4 linked regions of the Arabidopsis thaliana genome follow. The protein of the gene in region 1 interacts with the protein of each later gene in a pairwise test. Each region holds a gene or a part of one and is shown in the gene's direction. Other genes may lie near its edges. The genes, in order: AT4G26290, AT3G61950, RPT6A and CRF12.

Evidence for each region.
Region 2: the proteins of AT4G26290 (region 1) and AT3G61950 interact in a two-hybrid assay, tested with the Arabidopsis thaliana proteins (one large-scale study listed by BioGRID).
Region 3: the proteins of AT4G26290 (region 1) and RPT6A interact in a two-hybrid assay, tested with the Arabidopsis thaliana proteins (one large-scale study listed by BioGRID).
Region 4: the proteins of AT4G26290 (region 1) and CRF12 interact in a two-hybrid assay, tested with the Arabidopsis thaliana proteins (one large-scale study listed by BioGRID).

The regions. Positions count from the first base shown.
Region 1 is NC_003075.7:13,307,035-13,309,672, reverse strand, and holds AT4G26290 (uncharacterized protein), read left to right. Parts: upstream 1-1,850; coding exon 1,851-2,078; downstream 2,079-2,638. Other genes in the region: emb1027 (Arginyl-tRNA synthetase, class Ic), read left to right, coding at 162-231, 313-402, 788-856, 951-1,049, 1,163-1,273; AT4G26288 (uncharacterized protein), read right to left, coding at 1,456-1,705, 1,833-2,050.
Region 2 is NC_003074.8:22,937,634-22,942,000, forward strand, and holds AT3G61950 (basic helix-loop-helix (bHLH) DNA-binding superfamily protein), read left to right. Parts: upstream 1-1,754; 5' UTR 1,755-2,027; coding exon 2,028-2,060; intron 2,061-2,171; exon of another isoform or gene 2,172-2,477; coding exon 2,478-3,071; coding exon of another isoform or gene 3,072-3,095; exon of another isoform or gene 3,096-3,143; coding exon 3,144-3,512; coding exon of another isoform or gene 3,513-3,563; exon of another isoform or gene 3,564-3,618; coding exon 3,619-3,699; 3' UTR 3,700-3,849; downstream 3,850-4,367. Other genes in the region: MTPA1 (Cation efflux family protein), read left to right, coding at 1-816; AT3G61960 (Protein kinase superfamily protein), read right to left, coding at 4,333-4,367.
Region 3 is NC_003076.8:6,749,900-6,755,810, forward strand, and holds RPT6A (regulatory particle triple-A ATPase 6A), read left to right. Parts: upstream 1-1,898; 5' UTR 1,899-2,061; exon of another isoform or gene 2,062-2,204; 5' UTR 2,205-2,244; coding exon 2,245-2,446; exon of another isoform or gene 2,447-2,844; coding exon of another isoform or gene 2,845-2,872; intron 2,873-2,954; coding exon 2,955-3,052; intron 3,053-3,129; coding exon 3,130-3,354; intron 3,355-3,469; coding exon 3,470-3,532; intron 3,533-3,616; coding exon 3,617-3,780; intron 3,781-4,120; coding exon 4,121-4,277; intron 4,278-4,388; coding exon 4,389-4,487; intron 4,488-4,684; coding exon 4,685-4,795; intron 4,796-4,878; coding exon 4,879-5,019; 3' UTR 5,020-5,394; downstream 5,395-5,911. Other genes in the region: GONST4 (golgi nucleotide sugar transporter 4), read right to left, coding at 8-1,033. UniProt on the Arabidopsis thaliana protein: The 26S proteasome is involved in the ATP-dependent degradation of ubiquitinated proteins. The regulatory (or ATPase) complex confers ATP dependency and substrate specificity to the 26S complex.
Region 4 is NC_003070.9:8,944,109-8,948,597, reverse strand, and holds CRF12 (AP2 domain-containing transcription factor family protein), read left to right. Parts: upstream 1-1,969; 5' UTR 1,970-1,998; intron 1,999-2,275; 5' UTR 2,276-2,554; intron 2,555-2,652; 5' UTR 2,653-2,833; coding exon 2,834-3,697; 3' UTR 3,698-3,989; downstream 3,990-4,489. Other genes in the region: AT1G25480 (aluminum activated malate transporter family protein), read right to left, coding at 1-131; AT1G25460 (NAD(P)-binding Rossmann-fold superfamily protein), read right to left, coding at 4,354-4,489.

The DNA.
Region 1 (2,638 bases):
CTGCTGATAATAGTGAATTCTATTCAGTATCTTCCGGTTTTCGGTGACGTTTTATAATTAAGGCTGCTCAATTATGATGAATGATTTGCCAGATGTTTTGACAGTTGGTTTATATTCATGGCTACAAGCTAATGTGCGGTTTTGTTTAATATTCTTTCAAGGTATGCTGACCTGAAGAACAACAGATTAACAAATTATACTTTCAGCTTTGATCAAATGCTTAATGACAAGGTACTGAAATTTGCCACCTAGTTTACAAATTTGCATTTTGCAGTCACCTACACAACCTTATTGATCATATGTCATGAGCAGGGAAATACAGCCGTTTACCTTCTTTACGCCCATGCTCGGATCTGTTCAATCATCAGAAAGTCTGGCAAAGACATAGATGAGCTGAAAAAGGTACTTTAGCTGCATGAACATGAATCGCTGAATTTTATTCTTTGTTCCTCTTGGCTGCCCCTGAAACTTTCCCATTGTCTCTATCAAGGAAATGCGACGTTATAAACTATTTAGTTTGAAATTGAAAGCTTAAACAATTTTCAGAAGTGTTTAAACTTTTAAGTTAATGCCAGTGTCTATAGTGAGCATTTAATTTTTTGGAGTCTCAAGATTCATTTTGTATACACCCTGGGCCTTTTTGTCCTTTTTAGTTTCTTGGTTGTGCTATCTTTCACATTTTCATAAGATATGGATCGTCGAACACCTACGAAGTCTGTTATTAGTTCCTACCATACGCAGTACAATAAAGAGTAATTCTTATGTTTCAACATCTTATTCATTGCAGACAGGAAAATTAGCATTGGATCATGCAGATGAACGAGCACTGGGGCTTCACTTGCTTCGATTTGCTGAGGTAACACATGCTCTCTTTAGATACTTCTTTCATATTTGGCTTCTTTTTCTCGGCAACAAGATGAACTTGAAACTCATGTGTGAACAATTTGCAGACGGTGGAGGAAGCTTGTACCAACTTATTACCGAGTGTTCTGTGCGAGTACCTCTACAATTTATCTGAACACTTTACCAGATTCTACTCCAATTGTCAGGTGTGCAATTCACAAGACTCTACATTTCTCATTTGATATTGTGATATTAGACTGCATAGCTGCATAATCAACCACTATAATGTTGATCTCACTTAAAACATGATCTTTTACAGGTCAATGGTTCACCAGAGGAGACAAGCCGTCTCCTACTTTGTGAAGCAACGGCCATAGTCATGCGGAAATGCTTCCACCTTCTTGGAATCACTCCGGTTTACAAGATTTGATCACATCACAAGTAAACGACCCAAAGGAAAATGTTTTTAATTCGTTTTGACAATTTTTCTGCACAATTAGTGTAAAAGGCGTTATTTGGCCCTAAATTCTCTCTGTTCTCATTTAGCTTGGGGCAAACTTGTATACAAATGAATACAATGTTAAACTGAACCCAGAAGGTTGTTTTGTCATGTCATTGAACTGATTTGGGTGAATCATGAAATGGTTTAAAGGTTAATCTTGAATTTGAATGTTTTGAGGATGTTCTCGTGGCTTTCATGGAGATTGTTGCCTTTGGTCCATAGAAATAATCCCTTTTGCAGCATGACTTCGTTCTTGATCCTCTCTTCACAAGATCCTGTAGACTTGTGACATTTGCTAGAGATGTGAATGATTGAGATTTGCCTTTATAATACTTTGAAAGTCCTCCTTTCTTGACCTGACTGTAAGAAAAAAAACAAAGACAATAAGAAAACAAATTCTTAACACTGTCTATGGAGACAAGATGGAACGATCAAAGAGAATAAGGACTGTGAGATAATATTTCACCCAGAGATTTAGTGTCATTACATGATAGGGAGCTGAGAGATGAGGTCCGAAAGATCGTCGAAAGGCCCATTTGAAGAAGAAGAAGAAGAAGAAGAAGAAGAAGAAGCATCCTCTGTTAAATCAGATGAACACATAGAGATAGAAGATGAAGATGAAACTTTTGCAGAGGATCCTGAAACTCCAATAACACCCTCTTCTTCTTTTGTAGTCGAAATAAGATTACCATCGCGAATGTTCATCTCTTCTTCTTTTGTCAATTATGTTTAGATTCTGATTTGATCTTTCTTTTGAAGTCTTAACCAAAAGGACAAGAAAAGGTTTCTTGATCAATAAGAACAGAACAGAGAGTTCTTTTTTTTTTTGATAAGAAAGAACAGAGAGTTCTTGTCGAGATGTTTGTGTTCTGTTCTAGTTTTTTTTTTTTTTTTTGATAAAAGTTGTGTTTTGTATATATATAGAGGGAGGTAGAGGATTACACATGTAGATAAGCGAAGAGATACGGTTTAGTAAGAGAAAAAAGGATAACGAATAAACGATAATGTATAGGTATTACTTACGTGCAAGCTGTGGCCTGTGGATAACGTTTTACTCTGTTTCTTCTATCAAATTTATTAATCATAATCTATTTTTTCTCTAGCCTCTCATAAAAACATAAGGTTGACTCTTTTATCTTGATCCCAAATCCCAATTGAATATAAATTATGAACGACTGAAATCGAATTTTGGATTGTTTTTTTAACAATTATCTTGAATTGGACATAAGGTTGACTCTTTTATCTTATTTTTATTTTTATTTTTTTTCCATTCAAATTCGAGTAGATATAACC
Region 2 (4,367 bases), on another chromosome or scaffold:
GCTCATTTGCTCACTGATGTTGGTGCTTTTGCTATCTCTATGCTCTCCTTGTGGGCTTCTTCTTGGGAAGCAAATCCGCGACAGAGTTATGGGTTCTTCAGGATAGAGATTTTAGGCACTCTTGTCTCAATCCAGCTCATTTGGTTACTCACTGGGATTTTGGTCTACGAAGCCGTAACTAGACTCGTTCAAGAGACCAATGATGATGTTGATGGTTTCTTTATGGTTCTTGTTGCTGCTTTTGGTTTAGTTGTAAACATCATAATGATTGTTGTGCTTGGACATGATCACGGACATGGGCATGATCATGGTCACAGTCATGATCATGGTCATAGTTATGGGGAAAGAGCTGAGCAGTTGTTGGAGAAATCCAAGGAAATAAGGAACATTAATGTGCAAGGGGCTTATCTTCATGTTCTTGGGGATTTAATTCAGAGCATTGGGGTAATGATTGGAGGGGGTATGATTTGGTATAACCCTAAATGGAAAGTAATTGACTTGATATGCACGTTATTCTTTTCAGTTATTGTTTTAGGGACAACCATTAAGATGCTTCGAAGCATACTTGAAGTTCTAATGGAGAGCACACCGAGAGAGATAGACGCGAGGCAGCTCGAAAAGGGATTGATGGAAATTGAGGAAGTTGTGGATGTTCATGAGCTGCACATATGGGCAATTACAGTTGGAAAAGCTCTGTTTTCTTGTCATGTCAAGGTTAGACCAGAAGCTGGTGATGAAATGGTGCTGAACAAAGTGATCGATTACATCTGGAGAGAGTATCGTATCAGTCACGTTACGATACAAATCGAGCGTTAAAACAACAAAAGGGTTCATTTCTCTGGTTTTCTGTCATTTTCATGATCAAAGTTAAATCTTTTTTCGCTTTCTCGTATGCTCTCATTACCTTGTTGTGACATATGCCATTGTCTTTCTTGTTTATGAATAAGTTGTCTTGTCTTGAAAAAGGTAATTAAAAGGACATAACTTTATTTGAGATTAGGGATTTGTGTTAAGTTACTACTAAAGAAAAATCAGAATCTTTAGGGTTTATCTTTGATAATAGACCTACCAAAAAGAGTGGGGCATGTTTGTCCTAAGAGCAAGTAACCATAGCTCGTGTGTGACAGTTAACAACCATATCCAGTACACAATTGATAAACAAAGATTCAACTTTCTTTGGAGTTTTGATGTGTTGATAAGGTTTCTAAGGTCTTCGTTAACCAATAACCATGCAAAGCACGAATGTTTTGTTTCTTTGCTCAAATTTTGTGAGACCGGATATGAAGTTACCCGTTTGGATTGAGCTTGTGGACATGTTGGGACATTTTTATAGGACAAACACTGTTTAATGCCGTAGCAGCCAAGGCATTTAGAGTCAACCTTTTTCTTTTAATTGTAATCAAGATATGTTTGATTGCAAAGTAATAAACAAAATCCCACACTTTAGAAACCTTACATCTATTAAAGGTTCGAATCATTAGAACATGATGGATGCATGCAAATGCAACATGGTATCTGTATAAAGTTTTAGCTTTTTGAGCCTTGAAGAAAAGGAATGGTGTGGTATGGGAATAGTGAAGAAAGGATGATTGAGACATCATGAGAAAGATGACACAAACCCAAAGGAAGAAGCTCTCTTACCCATGACATGTCTCTTTTTTACCTTCTTCTTCTGTGTAATTTAGAACTGTCCCCACAAAGTCTGTCTCCACTTCAAGACAAAACTGCTTCCACCAATAATATCTCTCTCTCATCTGCTCTGCTCAGCCTCACCAACTCTTACAGTACCCAAATACATCTATCTTATTACCTCTCTGTTTTTTACAGCTCCTCTGTTTCCACTCTACTCAATAGCTTTACTAAAGACTCACTGTTCTATATAAAGCTAACAGTTACAAGTCCATAAAAGCTCAGAATCAGAAGAGAGTACATGAGTTTCCTCTTCTGCCTCTTTGGTGATTCTTAGCATTTATTATTACTCACTCATCTTCTTTTCATTACATTACATACCAAACAAGAGCTCTCAAATGGAAAGGTTTCAAGGACACATCAACCCCTGTGTATGTATCTTTTGCTTGATTTAGAAAACTTTTAACTCTCTTTCTTCAATCTTTCTCTCTTCCCTTGAATCATTTTTTTCCATACTCAGAGACATGGACTTGCATTTACTCATTCCTAATTAGTCCAGATACTGTGCATTTAATGCTTTTGTTGTTTGTTTTAGAGAAAACAGTAACAATTCCTAATTAGTCCAGATACTGTGCATTTAATGCTTTTGTTGTTTGTTTTAGAGAAAACAGTAACAATTCTACAATCATTTTTGCTTCCCTTTCTTTGAAAACATTCCATTTTCCTTTCTATTTTTTTGCTTATCTCTGTACTAAGAACCAAACTAACCCACAGTAGAACTAAATTACACTTCTCTTTCAATCATTTGCGTCTCACCGGCTAATCTCATTCCTCTGTCATTTTTACAGTTCTTCGATCGAAAACCGGATGTGAGAAGCCTCGAGGTTCAAGGATTTGCAGAGGCTCAAAGCTTTGCTTTCAAAGAAAAAGAGGAAGAAAGCTTACAAGATACAGTTCCATTTCTACAGATGCTGCAAAGTGAAGACCCCTCATCGTTTTTTTCAATCAAAGAGCCAAACTTTCTGACGCTACTGTCTCTTCAAACCCTCAAGGAGCCTTGGGAACTCGAAAGATATCTTTCACTTGAGGATTCACAATTTCATTCACCGGTCCAATCTGAGACCAACCGCTTCATGGAAGGAGCCAATCAAGCTGTGTCAAGCCAAGAAATTCCCTTTAGCCAAGCAAACATGACACTCCCTTCTTCTACCTCATCACCACTCAGTGCACATTCAAGACGAAAGCGCAAAATCAACCACTTGCTGCCTCAAGAAATGACTAGAGAAAAGAGAAAGAGGAGGAAAACAAAACCAAGTAAAAACAATGAAGAGATTGAGAATCAAAGAATAAACCACATTGCTGTTGAACGAAACAGAAGACGTCAAATGAACGAACATATCAACTCTCTCCGGGCCCTTCTCCCACCTTCCTACATCCAACGAGTAAATAACCAAAAGCATACATGAAAGTTTCAACCTTTAATCATCAAAACCTTATCAAATGTTGTCCTGCAGGGAGACCAAGCTTCCATAGTAGGAGGAGCAATAAACTACGTGAAGGTCCTCGAGCAAATCATACAATCTCTCGAATCGCAAAAGAGAACGCAACAACAAAGTAACAGTGAGGTAGTAGAAAACGCACTTAATCATCTCTCAGGCATTTCGTCGAACGACCTGTGGACAACTCTTGAAGATCAAACTTGTATCCCCAAAATCGAAGCTACAGTGATACAAAACCATGTCAGCCTTAAAGTTCAATGTGAGAAGAAACAAGGACAACTTCTCAAAGGAATCATATCACTTGAAAAGCTTAAACTCACTGTTCTTCATCTCAATATCACTACTTCGTCTCATTCCTCTGTTTCTTATTCCTTCAACCTCAAGGTAAACACTACTTTCCATTTTTTACTTCAATCAACAAAAACCCAACATTGAAAATTGAATCTTTAATTAAAAAATCTTGTTTTTTTTTTCAATTGTGTCGGAGCAGATGGAAGATGAGTGCGACTTAGAGTCAGCCGACGAGATTACGGCGGCTGTTCATCGGATTTTCGATATTCCGACAATTTGATTAAACACATATAATTCCAAAAATATTAACAGCTGACAAAATGGTATCTTTTTTTTTTTTCCTACTTGTACCAATTTTTTAAGAATTAAGAGAATAAAAAAATTTCGTTTTTCGTTCTTTCATTTTCCTACTGACAGAATTAAATTCTGTTTTGTTCGTATATTATTGGATTGTTCGATTATTATTGTTCAGGCTTTGGGTGTTTTGTGAGATTGGGTCCCATCTTATTAAAAGTTTGATCTTATTCGTCTTTATTATTTCATCAATCATGGTTTGACTTTTGTCCCTATTTTAAGTGTTGACTTTACGATCATTGTCAATGGGATGTCGTGTACCAGACTTCTCGTTTCCAAATGGGACGTTTAGAGCTTTCGCCTTTGGAGTGATCCTCCTCGAGCTTCACACGGGAGAGTTTGTGCACCAACAAAGTTTGCATCTTTGGTATTTTAAGCTATTATTGATATTGGCACTATACAATGAGGGAGGCAAATACTTTTTGGTCACAGCATCAACAATATAGAGTAACCATTTCGAAATTTCAAGAGAATATAAGGAAAAGCCACAAATGTTATAGACTTGACCCAAGCAGAGCCAGGAAAGTTTCTTATATACAATGCCCGCGGTCTATTTTCGCTAAAGATGAGACCGACGATGCTGTAAGTTAGAGA
Region 3 (5,911 bases), on another chromosome or scaffold:
ACTTCTCTCATACAACAGAAGCTAGTTTCCCCGGAACCAACTGCGTCAACTCCTCATCTTCCTCTCCCTTCTCGCTATCTTTCTCGCTGACCTTCTCAATGGGTTTATCCAATTTGACACTCTGCTGATAACCAACACCTCCACAGATAGTAAAAAGAAGACAAACCAAACCAACAGGAGTGGCATGCTTATCCCAAATCAAAACATTGATGACAACAGTCAAGAACTTGTTAACAACACCAGTGACTGTAAAAGCAGTAGCAGAGATAGCATTCCTAGCAGCAAATCCAAAGTAACTGATAAGGAAACCAAACACACACGACGCAGCCACAGAAGAAAACGCATAAGGCTCAAACAAATTCCCTCTATTCTCACTCAACGCCGCGAAAACCTCGGTGAATTCTCCAGTAAGAAACCAGAACACCGGTGCTATCATCAGAGACAGTAGATTATTGTAGAGAACCAATCCCCAAATGTTCAATTTAATATTAGAGACCATATGCTTAATGTAAACCATTTCAGTAGTAATGGTAACAAGATAAGCCAAAGCCCATGAATAAGCCGTTAGAGTAAAAGACGAGTCAGTTGCAACATACCCAACAGCTCCAGCGAGGATAACGACGAGAGACAAAAACGTAAGTCTCGAAGGTAAAGGCTGACTACGAAACACAGTATCAGCGATCGCGACTAAGAGCGGTGTTAGAGATCGGAAGACGATGAAAGTATCGACATTAGCGTGACGGAGGAGGTTTGTGTTTGTGAAGATAGCGAGGTAGAAGACGATAGCTGCAGGGAGAAATTTCTTAGCAGTGTCCCATGTGAATGGATCGTGATTGATTAACCCTGATTTGCCGAGAAGATAGACGGCGACGGTGCAGGTTAGGTATTGAAGAGCTGTGAGGAGACCTGGGTAGTTGAAGTATGTGATTGCTAATTTGTTGATTACGGCGAGGAGGCTTGAGCAGAGTGCGTAGCCGATTACGAGACTGCTTGTTGTTAATTGTTTGTTTGAATCGAATCGAGAGGACGACATTGTTTTGGTTTTTGGTGGAGGTTTTTGGGAGATCCAGATCGGTGAAGATGAAGAAGAGAGGATTTGGGATCTGGATCGGATTATTCAGAGACTAATTAGAGGAAGGCGACGACTTCTCTCGTCAGTGTCTTATCGTACGGGACAATTTTGTTAGTAATCTTTTTAGTCACTTTGAGTTTAATTGTGGTGTTAATTTTGGTCAACTCACCATTAATGGAAGAATATTAAACATATTGATTTTGTCTGTGTGTATGTAGAGAATTTTTGTTTGTTTGTAGAGAAATTATTGTGTATTTTGGACATAAACTAGTCAATGCACTAATTAAGCAAATAATTGAGATTGCATGTAGTCATTGTTGAGATTCACTCTCTTTTAGATTAACGATATGTGCTGAACCAACGCTTAAATAAACATAATAAATCTAAAATTGTTGTCATCTGGCTGTACAACACAAAGCTGTACAAAATTTTAGATTAACGGATCTGATTGTTTACAATAAGTCGTATAAAAAATTTAGGTGTACGTTTTTTCGGAATATTATAAAGCTGTAAAAAAGAACGGTACGAGAAAACCTTACAATAAAAGTGAGAGTAAAACTTTTTGTAACACTTTTGATAATCTTTTTGTGTTTTGTATAAAAAAAAGCTATACAAATTGTAATACTTTGTTTTTATTCACCAATCAAAGTCGTTGATGTTGAAACATGTTGTTGAGACATCATGCATCAACTACACTAAAATGTTATTCAAATCTTTGATCTAGTAATAAAACATGTTTATGATGTGTATTAAAGTAAGATTTAAACGAAAAAGAAGAAGTTATTAATCCGAATGTTTCAAAGTTTCAACTATCTCCCTCGACAACTCTCTTCTTACTCGATAAGGTGAAACTTAAATTACTAACAAGCAGAACGTTTTATCTCTAAGATGGTTCCAACGGCTTATTAGCCACCAGCTAGAGTAAGCCTGAGAAAACGTAGACTCGAGGAAGGACTCTAAACGAACTAGAAGGTTAAGACAAGCAAAAAGTAAAATAAAAATATTTCTATTGTTGAGTTAATTTCCTTTTTATTAATTTAGGTGATATCATATAATGCTTCGCGTGAGGGTTTCTGAGATTCTGATCGACGAAAACTAATCTCTCTCCTTTTTCTTCTCATCTCCTTACTAGAGATCTCTGTCTTCGATAATTTGTTTCAATCACTGAGAAAATGGCGGCCGTAGGAGTAGATTCGAGGCGTCCTGAGACAGCGATGGAGGAAACCTGTAACGTGAAAGGAGCGGCGGCGAAACAAGGGGAAGGGCTTAAGCAGTACTATCTCCAGCACATCCATGAGCTCCAGCGCCAGCTTCGACAGAAGACTAATAACCTCAATCGCCTTGAAGCTCAAAGGAATGAACTCAATTCTCGAGGTCTCTTCTTCCTTCTCTTACCCTAATTCTCTGCAAAATTGGATCTTTTTTATCATCTCCTTGTGTTTCGTAATCTCAGATTCTGTGCTAGGGCTTTCGATTTCGTTCCAATTGGAGCTGAGTGATTTCAAATTTCAAAATTGTTGTGGTGATTTAGTGTTTCCGATCTGGAAGTGATTAGTCTTGATTTTAGCAACATTAACTTGTTTAGATTTCTAGATTCTGTCTTCTTGTTGGTTCTTTTGCAAAGTATGTGGCTTTTTTCAGGAAAGCCTAGTTATTTCTTCACTATCTTCATTGAGGAATATATACTTTTGGAAGGAGCCCATATAGTCCTTTCCACTATACCATGATTTTAGTTACACATTTAAAGTTATAGAACAGCTTCTGTTGTCATCATGATCACCATCCTATTTATGCATGAAGGTTTTCTTACTAGTCTTTATAATTTGTAGTTAGTTCTAAATCTCAAACCTCGTTAACACTAAAATTATTTCTAATTGAACAGTGAGAATGCTCAGAGAAGAGTTACAGCTCCTTCAAGAACCTGGGTCCTATGTGGGAGAAGTGGTAAAAGTTATGGGAAAGAACAAGGTCTTGGTTAAGGTATGAATCTTTTTTATTATCATGTTTGTATTTCTACGAACATAGTTGTCAGTAAGGCTTACACTCCCATTTTCCAGGTTCATCCAGAGGGGAAGTATGTTGTTGATATTGACAAAAGTATAGACATTACGAAAATCACTCCATCAACGAGAGTTGCTCTTCGTAATGATAGCTATGTTCTCCACCTGGTTCTGCCAAGTAAAGTAGATCCCTTGGTTAACCTTATGAAAGTTGAGAAGGTTCCAGACTCCACCTATGACATGATTGGTGGTCTTGACCAGCAGATTAAGGAAATAAAGGAGGTATGCTTAGTGAATGAGAAACCGAAACTAAAAGTCACTACAGTATTGGCTATCTCCTCTGTTGTTTCATCCTTTTAATGTTTATATAATATCTATATCTTTTCTGGTTTATCAGGTCATTGAGCTGCCAATCAAGCATCCTGAATTGTTTGAGTCTCTTGGAATTGCGCAGCCAAAGGTACACTTGAATCTTAAACCTTCTTCTCCATATTGTGATGATGCTAAGTGGATTAGACGTAATCTCATCTCTCTGTCTTTCTAGGGTGTGTTGTTATACGGTCCACCTGGAACTGGGAAGACACTATTGGCTCGGGCTGTTGCACATCACACTGACTGTACTTTCATAAGAGTTTCTGGTTCCGAGCTTGTCCAGAAATACATTGGAGAAGGTTCTAGAATGGTCAGAGAACTTTTTGTGATGGCAAGGTTAGTATATGGTAGTCCCTATTTTAAATTTCAAGCATGGTAATAGTGGTTGATAGGAAAATATGGAACTGTTGATAAGATAACATCTTTTAACATGTCCGCCATTAGTTGCTATAAAATGGACATGAGCTGTTAAGTTAAATGGGGAAAGTGTTCTTTGTTGCTACAATGAATATGGTTCCGTTGTGAATGAATATCGTTCTATAAAGTATTCTTTGTCATAGTGCTTAGCATTTAGGCCACAGTGCCAAGTCTCATGTAAGGAGCAAATTACAAATAGGTGAGATGATTCGTTGAAAATACTCTTTCCAGTTGGCTTACACCGGTTTATGGTTTTCAGGGAGCATGCACCATCAATCATCTTCATGGATGAAATCGATAGTATTGGGTCTGCTCGTATGGAATCTGGAAGTGGAAATGGTGACAGTGAGGTGCAACGGACCATGCTCGAGCTTCTCAATCAACTTGACGGTTTTGAAGCGTCAAACAAAATCAAGGTACCTATTAAGTTGTAAAGGAAAAAAAACCATAAGTTGAATAGGATGAGTCTGTGTTATTGTAGTCTGAAATTGCTGACAGAGTCATATTCTCTTTAATGACTGTTGCAGGTTTTGATGGCTACAAATCGTATTGATATTCTGGATCAAGCTCTTCTCAGGCCTGGAAGAATTGATAGGAAAATTGAATTTCCTAATCCTAATGAAGAGGTAATACTTGTGCTCTGAGAAAATGATATTGACTGTTGTTTTTGGTGATATGAATACATTATTCGTCAAAGTAGGCACCTTATTTAGTATTTAGACTATCATTTGCAGCATAAAAAACTTTTCTTTATCTCCATACTCATTTTACTCAAGTGAGGCAGGACGGTTTGGCTAATGTATGTTTCCAAAATGTGTTGCAGTCACGTTTTGACATCTTGAAGATTCACTCGAGGAAAATGAATTTGATGCGTGGAATCGATCTGAAAAAGATTGCAGAGAAGATGAATGGCGCTTCAGGTGCTGAGCTGAAGGTAAAGTGTTTTCTATTTCTCTACTTCTATCTTGTTCTCTCTACATTTTGCCTCTCTCTTATGTTTTTGGTTAATACGGTCAGGCTGTGTGCACGGAGGCGGGAATGTTTGCTCTGCGTGAGAGGAGAGTACACGTGACACAAGAAGACTTTGAGATGGCGGTGGCCAAGGTAATGAAGAAAGACACGGAGAAGAACATGTCTCTGCGTAAGCTGTGGAAGTAGGAATCTCTCATGGAAAGACTTTCTTTACTTTACTGTTTGTTGTTTGATTCTGAAACCTTTTTTCGGTTGTCTCATGAAAACATTTTAGAACAAAGTTTTTACTATCTAGACACGAGTTTATCTAGTATGCGATTTGAGGTCAATGGAAGGAAATTCCCAAAACTCAAGAACCTGAGCTTATAAGACCAAAACAAGCAGAACCTTCACATGTTAAGAGTTCTTCTGTCCGAAACTGTCATATTCCATTAGAGAGAAAAAGCCTATAATGTAAATGTTATGATAATTTATTTCAATTACAAATTTTACGCACGAATTTGGTTTATTCGGTATGGTTTAGCTCGGTTACCAAAGTTTTGGTGTATGCTTAAGTTGTGGTTTTGGACTTTTTGTATTGCAGACTTATAAAATAACAAAACCAAGCGGTTTATAAATTTTGTTAATTTTGGGTTGGTTCCGTCATTCCATTTTTTATTTTTCTCCCAAATAAAAAATCATATGAAATTAAACTTAAAAAGAGCAAGATCTTTAATACAAGATCTTTAATACAAGTTTAGCAAAAAAAAGATCTTTAATACAAATGATAACATAGTTACAAAATTATACAAAACATATGATATTAATGAATTATATAATACACAATAAGCAATGGAAAAGAAAAATACAATAGCTTATATCTTGTTCTCTGGACATTTTGCACCTTTCTTATGTTTCCAGTTATTACGTTTAAACTTTGTGCACAGAAACGAAAATATTTGATATGCGTGAGAGGAGAGTACACGTGACATAAGAATACTGAGATGGCGGTGGCGAAAGTAACGAAAAACACACACAAAGAAGAACAAGCCTCTGAGTAAGTTCTGGAAGTAGGAATCTCTTTGTTATGTAATTCAAG
Region 4 (4,489 bases), on another chromosome or scaffold:
GTGATCCCGTCGGAGCAAAATCGGAAACACCGGAACTTGGAACGACGGTCATCGATGATGTTTGAATCATTGAATCCGAAATCTGAGCAAGCTTTTCGAGAGAGAAAGGCTTCTCTAGTTTGGTCAGCCATTTGCGTTGATTTCTTCTTCCAAAAGATCACGATTTCATAAACTGAGAGTGAGATGAGATGGTTCGATCAGATGGATCCCACTTTAGAAGAAACCTTAATTATAGTGGGGTCCTGTAATGAAAAGGGGTGAATCATGTTTAGAAAGATTCCGAAGCTATAAGACAACATATAATTTAATTAGTAATAGTATATGATTTTCATTTGTAGAGCAAAAAACAACATGATTTGGCCGTCCATAAAAGATGTTTCTTGTTCTATATGTATATTGTTTCTTACGAAATTTTAAATATTTGAATTTGAACTCATTTAAAGAAATTTGGAAGTAGTCAAATCATAAAAATTTGTATTTTTAAGGACATTGAAAAGTACGATATTTTTTCTTTCTTACCAATATTAGGCATATCACAATTTTTTTATTTTATTAAATCATTGTTTTGCTAAAAAAAAATCAAGCAAAAATAACTATCAATTGAAGAGTAGAGTTTAAAAAATAGTATCACTCATGTTTTTTTTATAATTATAACATTTATTATGTGATGTATAATAGTGTATAATTGTTTTGTGGTAAGATGAAAAAAAATCGTTTCAGTCTATTAATTCATGTTTTGCTGTCACCATTTGAACAACAACACCATTGTAAAAAAATTGCAATCACAGATTCACAGTTCAGGTTTTTACCGAATTTTGAAAAAGTTATTGCATCCGCTCTTTGCCTTCATACAACAGAAGCATCTTATGTGTGGAGGACTACACTTGCATAAAATACCAGTAAAATTGTTCTTCTTATGAGAAAGATTGAATCACACGCTCCCAAATGGATAGCTTAGGCGATTAGTGGGACATGATAGATGCATGATATTAAAGTATGGTTTGGTCATGCGCCATTAATATGTATGTCCCTTATCATATACGTCTCCTAATATAGAGACCATTTTGTACTAAAGTTCAAGAGACCACATAGATAAAATTAAAGAAAAGATAACATACTGATAATTTTCTTAGTAACATGTATATGTGTACGTATACCACAGAAAGAATGATCAAATTTTAGATTTCAGAACGCAAAACAACTTAACTGGAAGGAAAAGAAAATCTAGTTCTAGTCTATATCCCGGAGAGATGCTAATAAGAGTCTTTAACTAGGCTTTGCTCTCTGCTTTTGCTTTGTTCTTTTCTTTTCTTATAAACTAAAAATCTCTAGAAAACATTCATACTAAAAAACAAATTCTAGAAACCCAAAAATTTACTAAACCTTATAAAAAAGACCAACAAATGTGAATACTTTCTTATGATAAAGTACGAGATGAACTTTTATGACAGATTTTCTTTTGTAAATTTACATTTCAAACCAAAAACCTAATTCTATATTGGCTAGTTATGATTCATGGCCGGCCATTGATGATAATTTTGTAAACGCTTTAACACATATAAATGAGTATTTAAATATTTTTATATCAGTATTTTCACGAATGCTACATATTTGAATTGGCTAAACAAACACAAAAGAAAAAAGAAAAATACCACAACAATAACATTTCCTAACCACATTTACGTCAATATGTAAATTTATAAGTAAACTAAAAATACTATGTTTTGAGCAGTTTAAAACAATTTGGAAAACAATTAGTCAAGATAATATCATCGAAAATTAGATTAGATATTCCAAGATTTGTTACTTTTTCCTTTGAATGGTTCATGCAAAAAAAAAGGAATGGTTCCTTTAGACCAGCAGTAAAATAGTAGTAAAAATCGGGTCTAACGTAACAAGTGAGAAAATCAAGGTAAGTGAATAATACTAACAGCATATAAAGGTTAAAGCTTTATCCTGTGAGAGAAACAGATAGAATTTTCAGAAAAAGAGCACAAGGTAGGTGAAAGATTTCTTCTTTCTTTTTTTCTCATCACAAACTCTCTGCATTTCTCCACGAAATCATTACTTGAATAGTAACCCGTCTCTCTTATATTTGCTTACTGTGAGCCTGCGACTGTAATTTATGTTCTTCTCTTTCTAAAGATTTGCGTTTTGTTTGAATCGGAGTTTAATTCAAGAACCCTTTTTTACACTTCTTTCTTCTAAGGGTTTTAGGTTGTAGCTGTGTGTGTGTGTCTCACTTATCTCTTGTGGGTTTTTATCTCTTTTGAAGAACAGGAACAGTTAAAAGTCGGGATTTTTGGGTATTTGAGAAGCAATCGGAACAACAACGGCGTTTGTAACGCGGATTTATGTCGGCTGTGTCTGAATCGGCTGCGATTTCGTCTCTGTTTCTAATCTCCTTTGCAATTCAATCGTCTTCTTCTTCTTCCTCGTCTGTCTTGTTCTTTGGTCTGAGTCTGACGGCTGTTCTTAACGCTCTTCGCTTCTGCTCCGAACAGAGGCTTATTCTTGAGGTTCCTTCCATTTCCATGGGCTTAAGACTTAAAAGGTTTGGCCTTTTCTCTCTTCTTCTTTATCTTTTTCTTTTGTTGGTGAAGGAGAATCTAAAGGTTTTAAGTATTGGTTCTGGATTGTGATTTTGTGCAGGACTTGTTCTGGTGTTGAAGTATTTGGGGGTTTTCACGAAAAGCAAAAAATACCCTTTTTCATAGTTCGCTGAAACAGAGAAATCTTTTTCCTGAAAAAAACCTCATCCGATTTAGCAGTTTTTGATCAGAGATTTTTGAGTGGGGTTTTTTTGGTGTGTTCTTGGTGTGTTTGAGAAGATATGAAGTCCTTTGTGAAACCTGAGAGAGACTCTTTGTTGAGAACAGTTCGTATTGTTTTCACTGATCCTGATGCTACTGATGATTCCTCTTCCTCTAGCGATGAATGGTTACCTAAACCTCGAAAGGTAAAGCGTTTTGTTCATGAGATTACTTTCCTCCCTCAGGTCTCCGAGAGTTCTCAGGATCGTAGCAATGCTGTCAAAACCCCTAGAAGGAAATCTACTAGGCAGTTTAAGTATCCTGTGGGAGTTAGGCCGAGGCCATCAGGCAAATTTGCTGCTGAGATTTTGAACCCATTCACTAAAACTAAGAAATGGTTGGGTACTTATGAAACTCCTGCAGAAGCTGAGAAGGCTTATGTTGACAAGAAGGTTGAGTATGATGCACTGGCTTCTTCAGGTTCTGCTGTTTCCTCATCGGTTGTAACAGTGACTAGCCAGTGCTTGCGTTCCCCTACTTCTGCTTCTGTTTCTTGTGTAAGTGCTGATGATTTGTCTAAAGAAAAGACGTCTCTGAACAAAGATGTTGCTGCGTCTGGTGATTCAACCACCAAAGAAGTGTTCACTACTTTCGACTTTTCGGATGTGAAAATACCTGATCTGAGATTCTTAGCAGCAGAAGAGGATTCTATGGTTTCTAATGCAAATGGTGCAGAGCTAGACTTTGATTGTTTCCTTACTGACTCTAACATTCTGCTGGATGATTACTCATTGCTCGAAAATGATATCAACTTCAGCAGGTTTGAAAACAGTCTTCCAAGTGAGCTACCTGACTGTGATTTCACTGAAATGGAATTCCAGCTTGATGATTTCAAATTTGCCTATACAGATCATCTGACAACACCGCCTCTCGGTTTGGTTTAAGAGTTGTTAGCTTCGGTTTCTGTTTCACAGGAACATGATGAAGAAAGCTAGAAAGTATGATCCTTGCGGTCTGATCTCTATGGATTTTTCATGTGCTTTTAGAACAGTCCAAAGGAGTGATTTGCACAACATTTTTTCATAAATGTTGGTTTTACTTTCTTTCATCTTTATGTTTTAATCTATTTCCTTATGCATTGTTCTTCGTATCTCTTTTGTCTCTTGGTGTTGTACCTTTCTCTTTTAATGTTTGTCTAATCAGGACAGAAAATCTAAACCGAGAATTTAATAAGTCATGGGTTGATATTAATAGTACATAACAGTTGGATCACATTTATGTTTTTGAAGGTGGCTAATGGTGATTGTGACTTGTGAACGACCAAAAATGAAATGTAGACGACTCTCTCAAGTGGCATTCTCCACTACCTTAAAAGTAAAGAGTACTAAAGAGAGTTGACACGTGTTCCTGTACCTTTCTTGGTACGGACATTTGTGTGTGTTAAGCACGTGATACGATCAGTCCAAAGAAACTCTACAAGACGTGAGCGAGATGGTGTAATTATTAAGTCCAAGATTGATGGGCACTTTACATAGTGTGGAATCCTTTTAGATTAAGAGATCTCGTTGATGTTTAAATATAAGCTTGATTAGTTTGTGTTTCAGAGCAAACCCTTGTCTTGAAAACACTTGATACAGTCATCAAACATCTCTGTTAATGACTTGAAGGAGGCAAAGCCAAGTTCATGTATTTTTGTTGTGTCTAAGCTATGAGGCATATCTTTCCCTTCTTCACTG